5 linked regions of the Macaca mulatta genome follow. The protein of the gene in region 3 interacts with the protein of the main gene of each other region in a pairwise test. Links are inferred from orthologs where the notes say so. Each region holds a gene or a part of one and is shown on either strand. Other genes may lie near its edges.

What was found.
Region 1: the proteins of DMRTB1 (region 3) and RBFOX2 interact in a two-hybrid assay, tested with the Homo sapiens proteins (3 studies listed by BioGRID). The link is inferred for Macaca mulatta from reciprocal best matches to the Homo sapiens genes DMRTB1 and RBFOX2.
Region 2: the proteins of DMRTB1 (region 3) and EXOSC1 interact in a two-hybrid assay, tested with the Homo sapiens proteins (2 studies listed by BioGRID). The link is inferred for Macaca mulatta from reciprocal best matches to the Homo sapiens genes DMRTB1 and EXOSC1.
Region 4: the proteins of DMRTB1 (region 3) and SLAIN1 interact in a two-hybrid assay, tested with the Homo sapiens proteins (2 studies listed by BioGRID). The link is inferred for Macaca mulatta from reciprocal best matches to the Homo sapiens genes DMRTB1 and SLAIN1.
Region 5: the proteins of DMRTB1 (region 3) and NIF3L1 interact in a two-hybrid assay, tested with the Homo sapiens proteins (2 studies listed by BioGRID and IntAct). The two-hybrid records come from large-scale screens. The link is inferred for Macaca mulatta from reciprocal best matches to the Homo sapiens genes DMRTB1 and NIF3L1.

The regions. Positions count from the first base shown.
Region 1 is NC_133415.1:15,502,329-15,506,533, forward strand, and holds the start of RBFOX2 (RNA binding protein fox-1 homolog 2), read left to right. Parts: upstream 1-1,394; 5' UTR 1,395-1,406; coding exon 1,407-1,592; intron 1,593-4,205. UniProt on the Homo sapiens protein: RNA-binding protein that regulates alternative splicing events by binding to 5'-UGCAUGU-3' elements. Prevents binding of U2AF2 to the 3'-splice site.
Region 2 is NC_133414.1:109,488,203-109,491,717, forward strand, and holds part of EXOSC1 (exosome complex component CSL4), read right to left. Parts: intron 1,776-3,515; coding exon 1,742-1,775; coding exon of another isoform or gene 1,735-1,741; intron 815-1,734; coding exon 764-814; coding exon of another isoform or gene 679-763; intron 332-678; coding exon 247-331; intron 1-246. UniProt on the Homo sapiens protein: Non-catalytic component of the RNA exosome complex which has 3'->5' exoribonuclease activity and participates in a multitude of cellular RNA processing and degradation events.
Region 3 is NC_133406.1:187,151,286-187,154,362, forward strand, and holds part of DMRTB1 (doublesex- and mab-3-related transcription factor B1), read right to left. Parts: intron 269-3,077; coding exon 55-268; intron 1-54.
Region 4 is NC_133422.1:72,554,334-72,557,848, reverse strand, and holds part of SLAIN1 (SLAIN motif-containing protein 1), read right to left. Parts: intron 2,847-3,515; coding exon 2,564-2,846; intron 548-2,563; coding exon 472-547; 3' UTR 1-471. UniProt on the Homo sapiens protein: Microtubule plus-end tracking protein that might be involved in the regulation of cytoplasmic microtubule dynamics, microtubule organization and microtubule elongation.
Region 5 is NC_133417.1:106,005,858-106,010,055, reverse strand, and holds the end of NIF3L1 (NIF3-like protein 1), read right to left. Parts: intron 2,690-4,198; coding exon of another isoform or gene 2,682-2,689; exon of another isoform or gene 2,633-2,681; intron 840-2,632; coding exon 655-839; 3' UTR 516-654; downstream 1-515. UniProt on the Homo sapiens protein: May function as a transcriptional corepressor through its interaction with COPS2, negatively regulating the expression of genes involved in neuronal differentiation.

The sequences.
Region 1 (4,205 bases), on a different chromosome or scaffold from region 3:
TGGAACCCAGGGAAATCACGGCAGTCCTTGTTCTCACAGTCTGGTAGGGGAGAGAATCTATTGCACAGATATCTCTGTCTCCACGAAGTTGACAAGTCATAAAGAGCTCCTCAGGCAGCAAAGTGTAGAGAAAGAGAGTATGGTCCAGCGTTCTGAATTCTGGATCTGCCACTTTTTTGCTGCAGGATTTAACTAAGGTTCAGTTTCATCATCAATGAAATGGAGATCATGGTATCTACCTATATTACCAGTTTGAAATGGGTCTGTGGATGCATTGTGCAAACCCTAAAACTCTTACAAACATCGGATATTAGTACTAACTTCATTAGGAATGTGAGTTATGTCAGAGTAAAAGCTCTCAGAGCTGGGGTGAACTACAGACGGGTGGCTTCATTCCTCGACCTTCCAATTCGAGATCTTTTTCCTTCTGCGGGAGGGGAAGCAGGCAAATAGCCTGCCTCTCACAGAGTGCCCATTCCCTCCCCGGGAACCAAGGTGCTCAGGCGGGTAAACTCAGGACACAACACTGTACAACTAGTACCACAGGCAGGAGCCACTCCCTGGCCCTCGGGTCTCTCAAGCCCCGCCTGCTCCAAGCTACGGCCCCGCCCCAAAAGGAGACTGACCCCGCCCCCTCTGCGCTGGCCGGCACTCCTGCCGCGCGGAGCCTCCAGGACAGTCCCAGGCCCGTGCCGGAGATTCCCGAGCTTCCCCGATCGCTTCCCAGCCTCCCTCGGGCAGCTAGCGAGGAGGCGACGGAGATTGCCGAGAAGGGCTGGCCCCGCCCCTCCGCAGGCCGCCACCGCCCCCCTAGCCATAGCCTCCCGCGCGGGCTGGAGTCCTACATCCCGGTCCCTCCCTCCCTCTTTCTCTCTCCCCGCCTTCCCGGTGCTGCCACAGTGGCGGGTCGGAGGATCCCGGCCAGTCAGCTCGTTCCTGCCTCGCGCCCCTCCTCCCCCCAAATAAACAGCCCTCCCTACGCCTTGGGAGCCCGGACCGCCCCCTTCCTCCCTCGGCCGGCGTGTTGTGAGGGAGAGTGTGAGCCAGCGCGGCCGGCGGGCGAGCTCCGGGAGTGCGAGAGGCGGGGCAGCGCGGCGGGCCGGGCCGGGTGTCGCGTGTGCGTGCGGGGGTGCGAGCGAGTGCCCGTCGCGACCCGCCAGTGGCCCCGCGCCGACAACCCGGCGGGCGGGCGGGCGAGCGAGCGAGCGAGCGGCCAGGCGAGGAGCTCCGGGCGCGAGCCGCGGAGGGGCGCGGAGTCCGCGCGCTCGCGCGCACGCACGCACGCACGCACGCGGGGGGCGGGGGCAGGCGCGCGCCCGCCTGTCGCGACAGTCGGGGCCGAGGCCCAGGGGGAGGTGGCCTGTCGCGGGTCGCCCGGCTCCCGGAGGCGAGGGGGGCGCGGGCGGATGGCGGAGGGCGCCCAGCCGCAGCAGCCGCCTCAGCTCGGGCCCGGCGCCGCTGCCCGGGGCATGAAGCGGGAGTCGGAGCTGGAGCTGCCGGTGCCCGGAGCGGGAGGAGACGGAGCCGATCCCGGCCTGAGCAAGCGGCCGCGCACTGAGGAGGCGGCGGCCGACGGTGGCGGCGGGATGCAGGTGACCGCGCGGGACGGGGCGCCCAGTTATTGCGGGGGAGAGGGGGAGTGGCGTGAGGGGCGACCCCGGGCTCCCCGGCTTGGAAAGAGGGAGGGCCTCCGGGGGTCCTGGGTTGGAGGTGGGATGGGGGGACCAGTCGGGGCCTGGTTGGAAGGTGGGACGAGCTCGGGCTAGGAACGAAGGTTGCAGGACTGATCCTGGTGTGCCTGAGAGGGTCCTGATTCCTGAGGGGCGAGGAGGCACGACGAGTGGATAGGTTTTGGGGGGAAATCGAACGTGGTTGAGATGGATTCCATTTCTTCAAATCCTTCCTTAGTGCCCTGGGGTGGAGTGGAAGCCGGGAAATCCTGGGTTCTCTGGACGGAGTCGAGGAAGAGGGGATCTCGTGGGAAACCTCCCAAGAAGAGGGAGTACCTTTTGGCAGCCCTGGGCACCCGCTGGGATGGGGAAGAGAAGTGGCGTTTCAAGGAGAGGAGTGAAAAGCAAGAAAACTCCGAGAGAGAGCCCCGAGGGGATGTGGCTGAGATTGTGGGTTAAAACACACAGAGTGTGTGAGAAGTACAGGGAGTTTGGTAATGTTGTGGGGACACGGTGGTGCTCAGTCTCATTAACTTTGTGGAGCATACTAATGAGTCTGAAGGGAGACACCAGACATGTCCCTCCTGTTCTTTGCCAATTGCATTCTACATCTCCAGGACACAAAATAGCTCTTTAATGTCCTGGGCTATTAAAAAAAAAATTTTATAGGGCTATTATAAGACTGGATTCTCAATTCTGGATTCAAAGATAAAAGTGGTTAATTTGGGTAGGGAATGGGAAAGGTATTGATGATGTCAGTTGACTTCATAGTTTTGAGGAAGACCTTGAAACCTTTGTAGGTTTTAGGGTTTGGTCTCTGCCCAGAAAATACTGCTATGAAATGGTGAGTCTCACCTATCAGCAATTGTGCAGACATGTGCCTAGTTCTCTCAGAGTCATAGGATGTTAGAGGGATGAGGAAGACTAGACATCTTTTCCAGGGGTTCTTAACCTGGACAGACTAGGAAGATTCTTACTTATAAAAGGTGATGTGCACTTTTTGGTGGCAGAGAGTCAATAATTTTCATCTTTGTTTTTTTTGGAGGGGATTTGAGTCCCAGCTTGTTTTAACCACCTTATTTTATAGATGGGGAATCAGAAGTCCAGAGAAGATGAGTGACTTGGGTAAGGCCACCCAGTTAGCTGATAGTAAAACTAGAACCAGAAGCCTGGTCTTCTAATTCCTATTCCTGTGCTGTCTCCATTACACCACTCTTGGAAATCTCTGCAGTGCTAAAAGACTTCCTGTGCTCTGCTCCCTGCTTTTCAAGCCTCTGCCTGACTTCCTGTGTTAGGGACGGAGCTGTACTTAAGCCTAGCGTATTTGTTGTGTGCTTCTTGGTCTCCTTTGCAGAGTTTACCCTGTTACTTGTGTTGATTTAGGTAAAGTGACCCTCTTGGTGTTTATTTTTGAATTCTTTTGTTTTGTTTGCCTGCTTTTATTTTCCATTAGAACTCTGTCAGGTAGAGGGATTGTGAGAAGTAAAAGCTCAGGGCCATGGAAAAAAAGACAGGAATATGGGAGACTGCAGGTGAGGTGAGCTAATATTGGATGGTAAGGAGGGAAGACTGGATATAGGTGCTGGTGAGCAGGTTCTACTTTGTGTGTGTGTGTGTGTGTGTGTGTGTGTATGTCTGTATGTATTCATTTATCATTTCTGTCAATCATAGTTAATAGTGAGACCCCCATCCCTTTCCCTCATTTACTCCTGGGGCCTGTTATCTGCTGGTTGCCTTCAAATTGGCTAAAGATAGTGATATTCGGAAATGGAGCAATATGTAGGGACTTCACAGGGCTGTGCAGAGGAAAGAGTGGTTAGGTCCTTGGGGGTAGCTGAGAACTATCCCTCTGAGAATCCTTTTTTCACTCTGTGTATTTGTGGGTGTTCTTTGTTTATTTTCTTTCTATACATTTTTTTTTTTTTTTTTTTTTTTGCCCAGGTTGGAGTGCAATGGCACGATCTCGGCTCACTGCAACCTCCACCTCCACCTCTGGGTTCAGGCGATTCTCCTGCCTCTGCTTTCTGAGTAGATGGGATTACAGGCATGTGCCACCATGCCCAGCTAATTTTTCGTATTTTTAGTAGAGGGGGGTTTTCACCAGGTTGGCCAGGCTGTTCTCGAACTCCTGACCTCAGGTGGTCCACCCACCTCAGCCTCCCAAAATGTTGGGATTACAGGCGTGAGCCACCACACCCAGCCTTCTGTGCATTCTCGTTGTTGTAGGTCCATTCCCCTATGTCATACAGGTATTCAGATCATCACTGATTTAGGTCCTGCCTTCAACTAGCTGAGTGCCTGCAGAAATCTTTCATTTTGGGGCCTCTGTTTTCCTTAGCTATAAAATAAAGTATGTGTACAAGATGATTTCCCTCGTGATCTGCCCGCCTCGGCCTCCCAAAGTGCTGGGATTACAGGTGTGAGCCACCACGCCCGGCCGGTTTCTAAGTTACCTTCTAAAAGATATAAGTCCAGTTCACTGTGCTTAAGGTGCATGCAATCTATGTGGGGAAACAAATGGGTGAAAAGTTTTTT
Region 2 (3,515 bases), on a different chromosome or scaffold from region 3:
GAAGGCTGTGGTGAGTGGAGATCGCACCACTGCACTCCAGCCTCCTCGACACAGTGAGACCCAGTCTCAAACCACCACCACCACCACCGGCACCAAGCAAAGAAGAAAAAAAAAATCATTCTAATCTCAGAAGGAAATATCTACAGCCATACTGCTTCCCAGATAAGGGAAACCAGGAAAAACAATGGATTAATCCCAAACCATAGCTCCAGGGAAAGTAAGGATGTGGAAGCAAGGCCATCTCACCTGACTCACTGTGGGCTACCACTACTCCCAGCTCGTTCTCGGCAGTGGTTAGCAGGTAGTTGGACTGTGCATCACCTAGGGAGATCTAGTCACATAACACTGAAGGAAAATGAGGAGTTAGAAGTCTTCCCCCAACCTTAGCCAGCTGAGTTGTTTTTCTACTTTCTCTGTTTTGTTTTTTTGAGACGGAGTCTTGCTCTGTTACCCAGGCTGGAGAGCAGTGGCGCGATCTCAGCTCACAGCAACCTGTGCCTCCAGCGTTCCAGCGGTTCTCCTGCCTCAGTTTCCCGAGTAGCTGAGATTACAGCCATGCGCCACCACGTCCAGCTAATTTTTGTATTTTCAGTAGAGACAGGGTTTCACCATGTTGGGCCAGGCTGGTCTCGAACTCCTGACCTCAGGTGATCCACCCGCCTTGGCCTCCCAAAGTGCTGGGATTACAGGCATGAGCCACCACGCCCAGCCTCCATCTCTTCTTTTGACAAAAACCCAGAAGTCTGCTGGGAATAAAGGATACCACTTTGGCCAAGACAATGTCACCTGGGCGGAAACTCTTATAAATTTCAACCTGTAAAGAAAGAACAGGAATGGTAAGTGAAAGTTCTAGACAGGGTCTATATGAAACTGTGAACCCTTCTGGTAAAGCCAGTCTACTTTCTAATCCTGGAGGGTAGAAATCATCATTACTCATGTCAAGTCAACAACTTTTAATTGCTTCTATAGTATTATCATACAAATGAAAAGTTGTTTTTTTTTTTTTTTTTTTTTTTTTTGAGATGGAGTCTCGCTCTGTTGCCCAGGCTGGAGTGCAGTGGTACGATCTTGGCTCACTGCAACCTCCACCTCCCAGGTTCAAGCGATTCTCCTGCCTTAGCCTCCTGAGTAGCTGGGATTACAGGCGCGCAGCATGACGCTGGCTAGTTTTTGTATTTTTAGTAGAGATGGGGTTTCACCATGTTGGTCAGACTGGTCTTGAACTCCTGAGCTCGTGATCTGCCTGCCTTGGCCTTCCAAAAAGCTGGGATTACAGGTGTGCGCCACCGCACCCAGCCCTTTTTTGTTAAGGGTGGAATCCCACTGTGTCACCCAGGCTGGAGTGCAGTGATGCAATGGTAGCTCACTGCAGCCTTGGACTGCTGGACCAAGGGATCCTCCTGCCTCAGCCTCCCAAGTAGCTAGGACTACAGGTTTGTGCCACCACATAACCTCAAACTCCTGGGCTCAAGCAATCCTCCAGCCACATCCTCTCAAGCAGCTATGACTACAAGCATGAGCCACCATGCCCGCTAATTTTTAATTTTTAAAATTTTTGTAGAGACAGGGTCTCACTGTGTTGCCAGGGCTGGTCTTGAAGTCCTGGCCTCAAGTGATCCTCCCGCCTCAGCCTCCCAAAGTACTGGGATTACAGGTGTGTGCAACCATGCCTGGTCTGAGATAATACTTTTAAGGGATTGAGATTTGTAAAGCCGTTAAAAAAAGAGAACCAACCAACAACCTTGTCTTTTTCAGTTGCTCGGACATCTTCCTTGCTATAAAAAAAGAATTAACAGAAAGATTAATTATCTGTGAGAAAGAATTTTTTTTTTTTTTTTTTTTTTTAAAGACAGAGTCTCCCTCTGTCACCCAGGCTGGAGTACAGTGGCACGATCTCGGCTCACTGCAACCTCCGCCTCCTGGCTTCAGGCATTTTTCATGCCTCAGCCTCTCAAGCAGCTGGAATTACAGGCATGTGCTGCCACGCCCGGCTAGTTTTTGTATTTTTAGTGGAGATGGGGTTTCACCACATTGGCCAGGCTGGTCTTGAACTCCTGGCCTCAGGTGATCCACCCGCCTCAGCTTCCCAAAGTGCTGGGATTACAGGCATGAGTCACCTTGCCCAGCCTGTGAGAAAGAATTATTCTGTAGATTCCTAGTAAATAAAGAGCTACAAGAACAGACAGAACAAGTCTTAATTGGGACCCAGCTGCTACTCAGAGGAGCAGGGTGGAGAAGCATCCTCAGACCACACGGAGCAGCAGTATCAATACCTGATTAGATAAAGGCAGATCAGATTTGGCAAGAAACGATAAGGAGTTTTGTTGCCTCAGGGCTTGAACAGAAGCACTATAGCAAGGGTCCCCAACTTCTGGTGGCCTGTTAGGAACCGGGCTGCACAGAAGGAAGTGAGTGGCAAGCAAGCTTCATCTGTATTTACAGCTGCTCCCCAATCACACACATTACTGCCTGAGCTCCGCCCCCTGTCAGATCAAAGTGGGCATTAGATTCTCATAGAAGTATGAACCCTATTGTGAACTGTGCACATGAGGGAGCTAGGTTGCCCACTCATTATGAGAATCTAATGCTTGACGATCTGTCACTGTCTCCCATCACCCCCAGATGGGACCATCGAATTGCAGGGAAAGAAACTCAGGGTTCCCGCTGATTCTACATTATGGTGAGCTGTGTAATTATTTCATTATATATTACAGTGTAATAATAATAGAAATAAAGTACAGCATAAATGTAATGCACTTGAATCATTCTGCAACCACTCCCACCACAGTCTGTGGAAAAACTGTCTTCCAAGAAACTGGTCCCTGGTGCCAAGAAGCTTGGAGATTGCTGCACTACAGAACCACATCAAATCCTGAGGCTGGAAAGGGCCTCAAAAGTTAGATTATCTGCCTGGCAAGAAATGTTTGTCCTTTCTCAAGGAAGCCACAGGAAATCACCGTCTCACTCACAAATCTTTTCAATGTTTTATAACCTCTGAGTTCAATCTATATTAAAATTTTTAAAAAGTGCTTCCTAGAATGCCTTCCACTTTGGTTTGAGTCATCCTGACACTGATAAACTTCAGCTTCACTCAATTCTTTTTGCTTTACTTTTCATTTATTTATTTGTTTTTTGAGACAGGGTCTCACTTTGTCACCCAGGCTGGAGTGCAGTGGTACAATCTCAGCTCACTGCAACCTCCGCCTCCTAGGCTCAAGTGATCTTCCCACTTTAGCTCCACAAGTAGCTGGGACAACAGGTATGCACCACCATGCCCAGCTAATTTTTTTTTTTTTTTTTTTTTAAGAGATGGAGTCTCGCTGTGTACCCTGTGCCGGAGTGCAGTGGCGTGATCTTGGCTCACTGCAACCTCTGCCTCCCGGGTTCAGCCTCCTGAGTAGCTGGGATTACAGGCGCACGCCACCATGTCCGGCTAGTTTTTGTATTTTTAGTAGAGACGTGGTTTCACCATATTGGCCAGGCTGGTCTCAAACTCCTGACTTTGTGATCTGCCC
Region 3 (3,077 bases):
CTCCAGAAAGTCTCCCTGGCTCTGGCAGAAGCTGGAAGACTGGAGCTCACTCACCAGTGTTCTCCTTGTCAGTATCAAACAGGACGGTCAGTGAGAAAGATGACGGAGGCGGTGGTGGCGGTGGCGGGGGGAGGAAGTGGAGCGCAGAGAGGTAGCCTGGCGGGAGGAACTGGGGCTGTGGTGGAAGTGGTGGAAGTGGTGGAAGGGGCGGCAGTGGTGGCGGCGGCAGGTAGTAGCTTGGCTGGAAGTCTCCCACTGGTTCTGATGCCTGCACAGCACGCACAGCAGAGAAGCAGAGTGGAGAGAGAGTTAGCCAGATGGGCTGACCAAACATAGCTCTCACCCCCGAAGTGGGGGGCTCCTGATGGGGAGATGCATGGCCCCAAACACACAGGCACAGGCACTCGGAAGGCGGCATTCAGCAAACACCTGCCAAATTATTGAAGGCAAGAAGGAATACAGGCAACCTAAGATAAGCATGGGAACAGCTGAATGGTCACAGTGACAGAGCCCTTCTGTATATGCCAGGGCGACTGTGCTCACAATCCTAGGAGGGGGTTCTATTACTATTCCTGCTGTAAAGATGAAAAAATAGGTTCAGTGAGATGAAACTACAGGCCCAGGGCCCCAGAGCTACTTTGTGGTTAAGGGCAGAACTGGATCTCAAGTTGGCTGACTCCACAGCCCACTCAGCTGTCCAGCGCTGCTCTGCACTGGGGAAGGGTCTGAATGCATCCCAAGCCCACAGGACCCCCTGTCTGGCACATGTGGTCACTTAAACTCAAGTGCCAGCGGGGCCTTTGGGAGAAGAGGTTGGCAATGTGGGTGTAGAGCAGCTGTTTCTGAAGCAAGATACGCTGGGTGACTTCAGACAAGTGGCCTCACTGATCAACATTTTGCTGCTTCTGTTCCTTCTTCAAGGGATAGAATCCAATCCCTTACCACAGCACAGGGACCCATCACAGGATCTGGAGGGGGGATGACTACACAGCTCAGAGCTTAACCGAGAAACACACAAATGTCGTAAGAAATAATACTGAGTTTTGGATGTAGTTCCCGCTGTTTACTTCTCTATCTAGATGCTTCAGAGCAACACTTCCTGAGCTGAGTTTCATGGAGTCCTGGTGTCTTACAAAGTATTTTTTAGTACTCTAAAAGTGTTATTTGTTAAGTGACTTTGAGAAACCCCATATACTGTTCCCCACATTAGTGGGTCACACATGAGCATATTAAAGGCTTGGAAGAGTCTGCAAAAATCTCCTTAGATTAACCCAGCTAACCTGGTTGAACTTCATTCAACCACCAGGAAGGGAAGAAAGCCCACTTTTAAGTACCTACTATGTGCCAGACCCTGTGCTAGGTATTTTACATGCATCACCTTATGTATTCTACTCAGGAGCCCTAATAGACAGGTCCTCCCACCCCCACTTTACAGACCAAGACCTGAGTGAGGTCCTCAGAGGTCAGGTAACTGCCATGGGTCACATGGCTGGGACACGATGGAGAAGGCAGGATTGGACCCTAGGTCTGCCCAGCTCCACGGCCGGTGCTGTCCTGTGAACAGGAGAGCAGAGGGAGCCAAGCAGCAGCAGATGGGCAGGGACAGGAACAGGAAGGAGGAAGCTGTTCTGGAGAGCACCTCCAAGCCTTGGCAGGGGGCAGCAGGACAAGGATGAAAGTGATTCAGGGGCTCTTGGGTTTGAAACAGCTCACAAATCAATGCCTGATTCTCTCTCCAGACGTGAGAGGGTAGAAGGGGGATTATTAGTGCTTTAATTCCGAGCTGCTCAGCCAAGCATCTCCCTGGATCACAGCTCCTGCCAGGGGCCTGTGGTGGCAGCTTGGGCCCAGATAAACTGACTGAGATCACACTCTTAACAAAGGCCGTCTGGCAGGCCTGTCAATCAGAGCCCTGCCCTGGACGCCAGGCTCCAGGCTTCTGTGTGAGCAGACGGAGCGTGCTCTACTTGGCCAGAGCCCCTCTCTTTGTGTGGAGGCTGGAGATGCCTGGCTCTCCCTGGGCAGTGCCCACAGATGTCAGGCAGGCAGCAGTGCTGGTGTGAGTAAAGGGCCATGTGTGTTCTACCTCTGTGGGAGAGAGGGAGGGGCAGTGGAAAGCACCTAGACCCCAGACCTGACCTGGCTCTGTCACCAACCAGCTGTGTAACTGGAATCCTAGTCTCTCTCTCACCAGTTTTGTGACCCTGGCCAAAAGCTTAACTTCTCTGAGCCTTTTTTTCTCAATGCTACAATGGGGTACAACACCTACCTTGAAGGTTCAATAGGCACCCTGGAATTATCAAGGCCAGTGGCTTTCAAACTTTTTTCCCTTGAATCAGTGGAAAATGATTTTTAAGCACAATTTTACAACATCTAAGACAAGTGGAAGAGAAGCTGTTGCCGCCAGGCTGAAGCAGGAGTAAGGACCCAGTGACCTGTGTGCCCAACATGCCCGGGTGCAGCTCGAGCCCCATTGGACTGGCTCCACACTGTGTGGCTAATGACTTTCATTAGGGAGAGAGAGGGCTTTCAGCCATCCTAGTCTGGAAGGAGCTGGTAACCAAGGCCATAAAACTCAATCACACCTACCTCGTAGTACACACCACAGGGGTGAACTGACTTTACACACTCGGTTCTCAAAATTCCCAGCTTAGACAGAATACCAGCTAACGACTGACCTTTACTAATCTTATAAAAGGATTAAATTTCATTCTTTCAACAGGTATTTCCTAAAGTGTCAGGTGTTTGGGGGAAGGTTTCCGTATTTTTCATGACTCAGTTCAAATGCCACCTCCTCCTGAAAGCCCTCTGCAGTCTCAAGTGTGCTCTACCTGTGGGCAGGGAGTCTACCTCTGGTCCTGACTCTGCCTTAAATTTTGTGGTCCCAGTAAGGTGATATTACCTTTCTGGAGTCCAGCAAAATGAAGGGCCCTTCCAGCATCAGCATCAGTCAAGGAAGGGGTCACCCTGAATGCTCAGAGTCTTTCAGCCCACTGCCCTGAAAAGCACAGGCCATAGCCCAGGCCGAGTGGTGCAGACTGGTCCACACGTATGCTCCCAGAGACACACACACTGTG
Region 4 (3,515 bases), on a different chromosome or scaffold from region 3:
CACAAAAAATAAAATTCCTGTAAACTATAAAAAAGTAAATTTCAAAGCATACATTATAGAACCTAGTTGTCAATATGCAATGTATTAAAATACAGAACATGTAATGGAAAGATGTTTAGAACACGTAAGTAAATTGAACAAGTTACTTTAAAAAACTTCTATGGCAAAGCATTATTGATACATCTCAATTCTCTCAAAAAGTATTCAGGTACAGAGCAGTTCTACAAAAACTTCCTAGATCTAAGTGTCACAATACTGCAACCATGGGTTTGAGACTGTTGCAGTATCTCAGGCAAATATTTAAGTGCAATAATTAGTCTCTGGTGACTGGTCCATTGAGAAACAATGCAGTAAATATATTAAAACACAAAAGGGAAAGAATATCCCAACATCCACTGCTACCCAGCCAGCTAGGTAACACAACCCTCATTTTTACTTCTTTCCCATTTCTCAAGGGTACATAAAACTGCATCAGTAGCAACCATCTCTCCAATTTCCATCCCTCAGAGTGCTGAGTGAAGACAGAGGCTTTGGAGGCTGAAGAAAACTAAAAAGAGACAAGAAAAACACAGAGAGATTGTTAATAATCCTGTGAGTCACATTACTTACTTTGACCTACTCTCCCATCTATGCTCCTCCACTGCAGTAATGAGAAGCCATTGGCAGTATCTCAAGTGTGCCTTGTGGTTCACACTTACGGGTCTTCACTGCATGCTTATCTCCCAAAGCCCCAGTTCATGGCAGAGTGTCATGCGTGTTGTATTTGCACAAGTAAATTTCCAACATAAATAAAGGGGCCAATACCCTTAATGTGTAAAACATATTTTAAAATAAGAAAATACAGACTCCTGGCTAGAAAAATGGCCTAAAAACATAAATGGTTACTCTGTTGAATACAAACAGCAACTGAATACGAATAAACTTTCAAAACCGTATTAGTAATTAAAGATTTGCCTATCATGTTGGCAAAACATTTAAAAAGAACCTTCGGCTGAGTGCAGTGGCTCACACCTATAATCCCAACACTTTGGGAGGCCAAGGCAACAGGAACACTTGAGGCCAGGCATTCAAGACCAGCTTGGGCAACACAGCAAGACCTTTATCTCTACAATTTTTTTTTTCAAATTATCTGGGAGTGGTGGCATGCACTATAGTCCTAGCAAGGCAGGAGGATCACTTGAGCCCAGGAGTTTGAGGTTACAACAAGCTATGACCACACCACTGCACTCCAGCCTGGGCAAAAGAGCAAGACCCTGTCTCTAAAAAAATACATAAAATAAAAAATTTAAATTAAAAAAAATTAAAAGGAATAATACCTAGTATTTGCTTAAGTTTGGGGAAACAGACCATCTTATATTGTCTAGCAGTGACCTTTCCAAGTGTTTAGTTTGGAGACACAAATTCAAGGATAAATGTATGGTCTATAATAACCATATATATCAAATAATGTGATTCTAGTCAGCCATCAGCATGATGACGCAGCTCGGCATTTACAAAGCAGAATAAGCCAAAAATTACTGAATAAATAAACATGTACCAAAATTGTTTCTATCTGGTAGTAGGATTATGGGTCAGTCTTTACTTTTCTATTTTTCAACAGTTTCTGTTTTTTGAAATTTGTTGTTGATCTGAGCATCCATTACTTCTAAACAAAAAACAGAACTATTTATATATCCATAAATGCATAAAGACAGAAAAAATTGCTTGTTCTACCTCTTTCAAATTTTTACTATGTTTCCTCCTTCTCCTTCTTCATATCCTAATTTCTTGAAAGAGCTGTCTGTATTTACTGTCTTTATTTCCTCAATCTTTCTTCAAACCACTTTTATGGATTTTTAATATAAGACACTCCATAATATTCAGTTCAAGAAGGGTACATCATGACCAAGAGCTGGACTAAAATGTCCTTTGAAGTAGGAAAAAAAACTCTGAAACTTTGAAGGGGAAAAAAAATTTCTACCTGAACCATACTGAACTTACCAACATAAGCTGATAAAGCCCCAGGTGAATGTCATTAAGATGCTTTTCAAACCATAAATGTGTGGGAGGAGGGTGTGCATGTGCACATATGCCTGACACATTTTTCCATATTTTGACTAAAAATGACTGATTCAACAAATATTTGAGATCCTACCCATACTGGGCATAGTTCTTGGCATTAGGGACACACAGCAATGAACCAAAGAGTCAACTCCCCCTGCCCTACAATTTTTGGATAGAGCTGCCGTCTGAGCAAAGACCTGAAGGAGGCACAGAGCAAGTCGTGCAAGTAACTTGGGAGAAGAAAGCTACAAAAGCTCTGGAGACAGAGCTTGTCTGGTAAAAGCAAAAGTGTTAGGAGTGATAGTGATGAGGGAGTAGGGGAAGAAAATGATATCAGAGAGAAGGGGACCTGACCCACACAGGGATATCCATCACTTTTCAAAGGGAGGAGAGCACAAGTCAGGCCACAAAGGGTAGTGACTTACTAAGGTTAAAGTGAGCCAAAGGAAAGGTCAGCGTGTGTCTGGAGCAGTTTCTAGTTCCAAACTGCAAATGAAATTATGCAAATAAAGATTCTTACCTTCTAACAGGTTGTGCAATTTTGCTTCGAGGCAGGTTACTCCCATTTATTGCCAACGAAGGTCTTGGGAGTGCACTGCGACCCATTATCCCAGAAGCTGCAGCTTTGTTCGGTGTGGGGATTCCTGTGTTGGAATACAGCTGTAAGCCGTTTGATACAGGCATGTTACTGCTGCCTTGAACGGTTGGACTCACATAGGCTGTGGCTTTAAGAGGTTGTCGGATAGACACTGGGAAATGCCCCACGCTGTGGACTCTGTGTTGAAGCTGTCCTGGTGATGGAACTAGAAGAGAAAATGATATTCATGTGAGCGAGCTTCTACCACTATCCAACTTAGGAAATGTGTGCTATTTTCAGAAGAGCCAATTATGCCTGAGAGTACAATATACACAGAAGGAGATAAATGGAATATAGGCTCCAGATGGCACTGAGTCATGGAAAATTCTAATCCTTGATACGGATCTCCTGGTCTGTCCATGAGCCACATTTTGAAGTGCCTGGCTATATGCAGAAGCCAGTTCTAAGCACAGCCTCCTTTCCTTTACAAATGTGATGATCTCTGAGTTCTTACAAGACAAAGTCTTCCCTGCTTGCTTGCTAGAAATTAGGATTTCTTGATGCTTGCTTTGGTGGTGGTTCCATGAAAACAAAATGAGGAGATATTTTAATAGTTGTTATTATAGAAAAGAAGACAGAGGTGGTATCTGTAGGTACAAACAGTTTATTACAGATATATTCCTTAAATAATATTCATACGTCATTTATCTCTCTTTGAGTTGCTGGGCATTATTACATATATAATAGTAGCAAAACTTATAAAATGAAGGGAACCGGGAACTCTCTGGGTAAGAACCCTTAAAAATTTCATCTATATACTGACCCAACTTTGTGTATCATTTCACATTAAAAGGTAACAAACTGGTAGGCAGAAGTTTTTAAATTTTTTAATCCC
Region 5 (4,198 bases), on a different chromosome or scaffold from region 3:
AAGCAAGGGCAAAGATACCCAAATGGATCCATCCCATCCCATCTACAATTAAACTAAGGAGAGAATCACTTGAGCTGCTTCCAAAGAATGTTAAGTAAACAGATTTTATTCAATCTTTCCTAGATTTTATATGAATACTTGTTATTTAATGTGGTAGTTACATTACAGTTTTACTGTATGAGCGATAGAACATTTAGTGAATCTGCAGGGCGTGGTGGCTCACGCCTGTAATCCCAGCACTTCGGGTGGCCGAGGCGGGTGGATCACGAGGTCAAGAGATCCAGACCATCCTGGCCAACATGGTGAAACCCCGTCTCTACTAAAAATACAAAAATTAGCTGGGTGCGGTGGCACACACCTGTAGTCCCAGCTGCTCAGGAGGCTGAGGCAGAAGAACTGCTTGAACCTGGGAGGCAGAGGTTGCAATGAACCAAGATCGCGCCACTGCACTCCAGCCTGGTGACAGAGCGAGACTCCATCTCAAAAAAAAAAAAGGAAAAAAAAGAATGTTTGGTGAATCAGATTAACAAACCGGAAATGATCATACCCTCTAAGACACTCTTCTAGAAGCACACTAGTCCCACTGACTCATGTTACAAATTCAAGTTGGCATCCAACTAATTTGTACAATGTGTTATCCTGATGTTTCTGCAATTATACCACCTGAAGAGGGTCCCTGTCAGTCTCTGATAGGATAATATTTATCTTATTCTCCAAGTGAGAACCCAGCATATCTCGAAGGTCAGAAAGAAAGCCTCGTTCAGTGTTGCTATGTTCACAGAGGATGACATTTATTCCTTGGGAAGCAGCATCCAAAATATCATGATGGGACATCTCACCTACCAAAAAGGAAACAGCAAATTCTTAAATGCTAGATATGGAATCTGTGGAATGAGGAAACACAAAAGCAGAAATACCAAGTTTATATTCTATATAAAGTGAATGTAATACAGCAGAACTGTTATAAATCTAGAAAGTACTGTACAGTTTTCTTTTATGTCCTCCAACTTAAAAACAGAGAAAGGTCTGGGCACGGTGGTTCACGCCTGTAATCCCAGCACTTTGGGAAGCCTAGGCAGGGGGGTCACCTGAGCTAAGGAGTTCCAGACCAGCCTAGCCAACATGGTGAAACTCCATCTGTACTAAAAACACAAAAATTAGCTGGGTGTGCTGGCGTGCGCCTGTAATCCCAGCTACTCAGGAGGCTGAGGCGGGTGAATTGCTTCAGTATGGGGGCTGGAGGTTGCAGTGAGCCGAGATTGCACCACTGCACTTCAACCTGGGTGACAGAGCAAGACTCTGTCTTGAAAATATAATAAAATAAAAATAAAAGCCATCCCATTGAGAATTCCAACTTCTTTTTCCTTGGCAGACCCCAAGGCAATCGTCCAATCCAACATATCTGGCCAGAACCAGATCTGTAAACACCCATTTTACTGTGTTTCCACCGTAGAGAGAATGACCACTGCTAAGTAAAATGAGGCCTTCAGAAAATCTGCCTCTTATGTAATAAATACCTCTGGAGGACATTCTGTGTATACTGCCCAGCAGACTTAGGCTTTGTAAGCACTAGTATTTCTGTCGTCAACTTAGTCTAATATACAAGGATGAAATGAATTTAAGATTATTTCCAGATTAAAACAAAGTATTTTTCTTTGACTTAAGCAAAATCCCTAGAAACTCTGGAGGGAATCTCATCTGTTGTGAAAAGATTTGGGGAAAACTCAAATATTCTGAATTTTTAATTTATTTATATTTGTATTTATTTTTTTAGATGGAGTTTTGTCCTATTGCCCAGGCTGGAGTGCAATAGCATAATCTCAGCTCACTGCAACCTCTGCCTCCTGGGTTCAAGTGATTCTCCTGCCTCAGCCTCTCGAGTAGCTGGAATTACAGGCACCCACCATCAAGCCTGGCTAATTTTTGTATTTTTAGTAGAGACGGGGTTTTGCCATGTTGGCCAGGCTGGTCTCGAACTCCTGGGCTCAAGTGATCTGCCCGCCTCGGCCTCCCAAAGTGCTGGGATTACAGGTGTGAGCCACCGTGTCCAGCCTAATATTCTGAATTTTTAAAAATGCAGTTTGTGAATTTGATGACTTGTAATTTAAGAGCAAAACTGCACTGTGTACAATTTGGTTTGTTCTTTAGAAAGTACAATTTTGAACTGTATTTAGAGACAGAAGGGCATACAAATTTAAGAAAAAAAAGGTTCTTAGAAAAAAAATTGAGTTTTTTCTCTAATTTTCCCACAAGAAAACATCTGTAAGTAAAAAATAAGTTTTCTTAATTCCAGAATTTTTCAGTTCCCCACACTCTTCTAGTAAGTGTCATCTCATTATAAGGAATAATTTTTATTCGAGCACTTTTTAAAACATCTTAATCTATAATAGTAAAAGTAAAAAGCAAGAAAAAGACACTAAGATGACCCAGTTGGAAGCCTTGTTTTAGGAAAGATAAGTCTGGCTGCCTGTACTGTGACAAACTCATTGGCCGGAGAAGGCATGAAAGGGGGGAAATCTGTGAAGACCCTGCAATAATTGCTGAAGCCAACGGAAAGAAAAGCTTGGCCCAGGATGGCAGCTTGGGAAAGGAAAAGCAAATGGAGAATGAAATGACAAATGAGAGAACTTACATTTGCAAGGAGCAGGCTCCCCATCTGCTGGTCTTACAGGGTGTTACCCTTAACAACCTAATACAACGAGAACACGGCCTCAGACTCACAGGGAGCGTGATGAAGTTCAGCAGAGGTCCTTTAGGAGGGGCTTTGCATCTCTGAAGTTACACTCAAAAGCAATGCCTCACAGACCAGAGACATCTAATGCTAGCCAGGTAATATTTTCTTTTTCTCCCCACAGCGAGATAGGAAGGACATTTTAACATTTTGGAACTGCCTGAATTTATTTTATGAACATATCATTATATTTTATCACTTTTTTTAAAAACTAGTTTTTAAAAAAGTATTTATGAGGAAATAGATACCCCAAATTGAGCGAGAAGCACAAAACAAAGAGCCTATACTCTTTTAAAAATGTCAGTGTTATGAAGACAAAGCTGAGGAACTATTCCAGACTGAAGGAGACTAACAACAACTAAATGCAATGTGAGATCATGGGCTGGATATGGATCAGAAAAAGAAATACTATAAACTTTTATCAACTGGAAAAATGTGAATATGGACTGTATATCAAGTAAATGTTTTAACAATATTAAATTCCCTCATTTGATAATTGTTCTATAGACTTAGAATGTCTTTGTTCTTAGAAGACTATACACTGAAATATTGAGAGGTAAAGAAATTGTCATGTCTGCAATCGATTTCTAAAATGGTCCTGGGGGAAATACATCTATATATATATATATATATATATAAAAATTTTAACTTGTATATTATATATTATATATCTATATATGCACACACAAATGTATACAGACACATATATAATATGTACATAAAGAATGTACAAATATGGCAGAATATAACCATTAGTAACCAAGGTGAAGAGCACATAGGAATTCATTGTACTATTCTTGCAACTTTTGCATAGGTCTGAAATTCCTTCTAAGTAAAATGCTAAAATGAATTTTAAAATAGCCAGACACAATGCTGTAAGATATTCATATTGAAATTTCACTTTAATCTGGTAGAAATTTAAGGACTTACAAAAATCTTTTATCTTCAGAAGAATGGAAAACAGGTAATAGTCACATACATGTTTTTTTTTTTTAATCAATTTATTGGTTTAGAGCAGTTCCATCAGGCTTTCTCAGATGCTGCTCCTTGGTACTTCGGGATGTGACAATGCTTTCAGTGCAGCAGCCTTTGTAAGAGAGTGTGCTACACAACAAGGCATGGGTGTGGGAGGCAAGGGAAGCATGGAAGTAGCCAAAGGAATGGCCAGAGGGCTAAGAGTCTAGAGCCTGGTCCTCGAAGTGGGAAAAGTAATTCTTTAACTCATTCTCTCCTAACCCTAAGAAGGAGGAGGTAAACAAACTGGCAACCCATTAAAATGTCTTCAAATCCTTTGCAGGTATAATGGGCCATGTTTGGTCACATTCCTGAGTAGTAACTACGTGAAGTAATTCTTTCAATAAAAATTAGCCAGGACCTATTAGGTAGTATCCTTAAGGAGAGAGTGTAAGGCCCAGGAGCCAATTACTGTCCAACAGAAGTGCACACTGGAGATCAAGGACAAAGTGA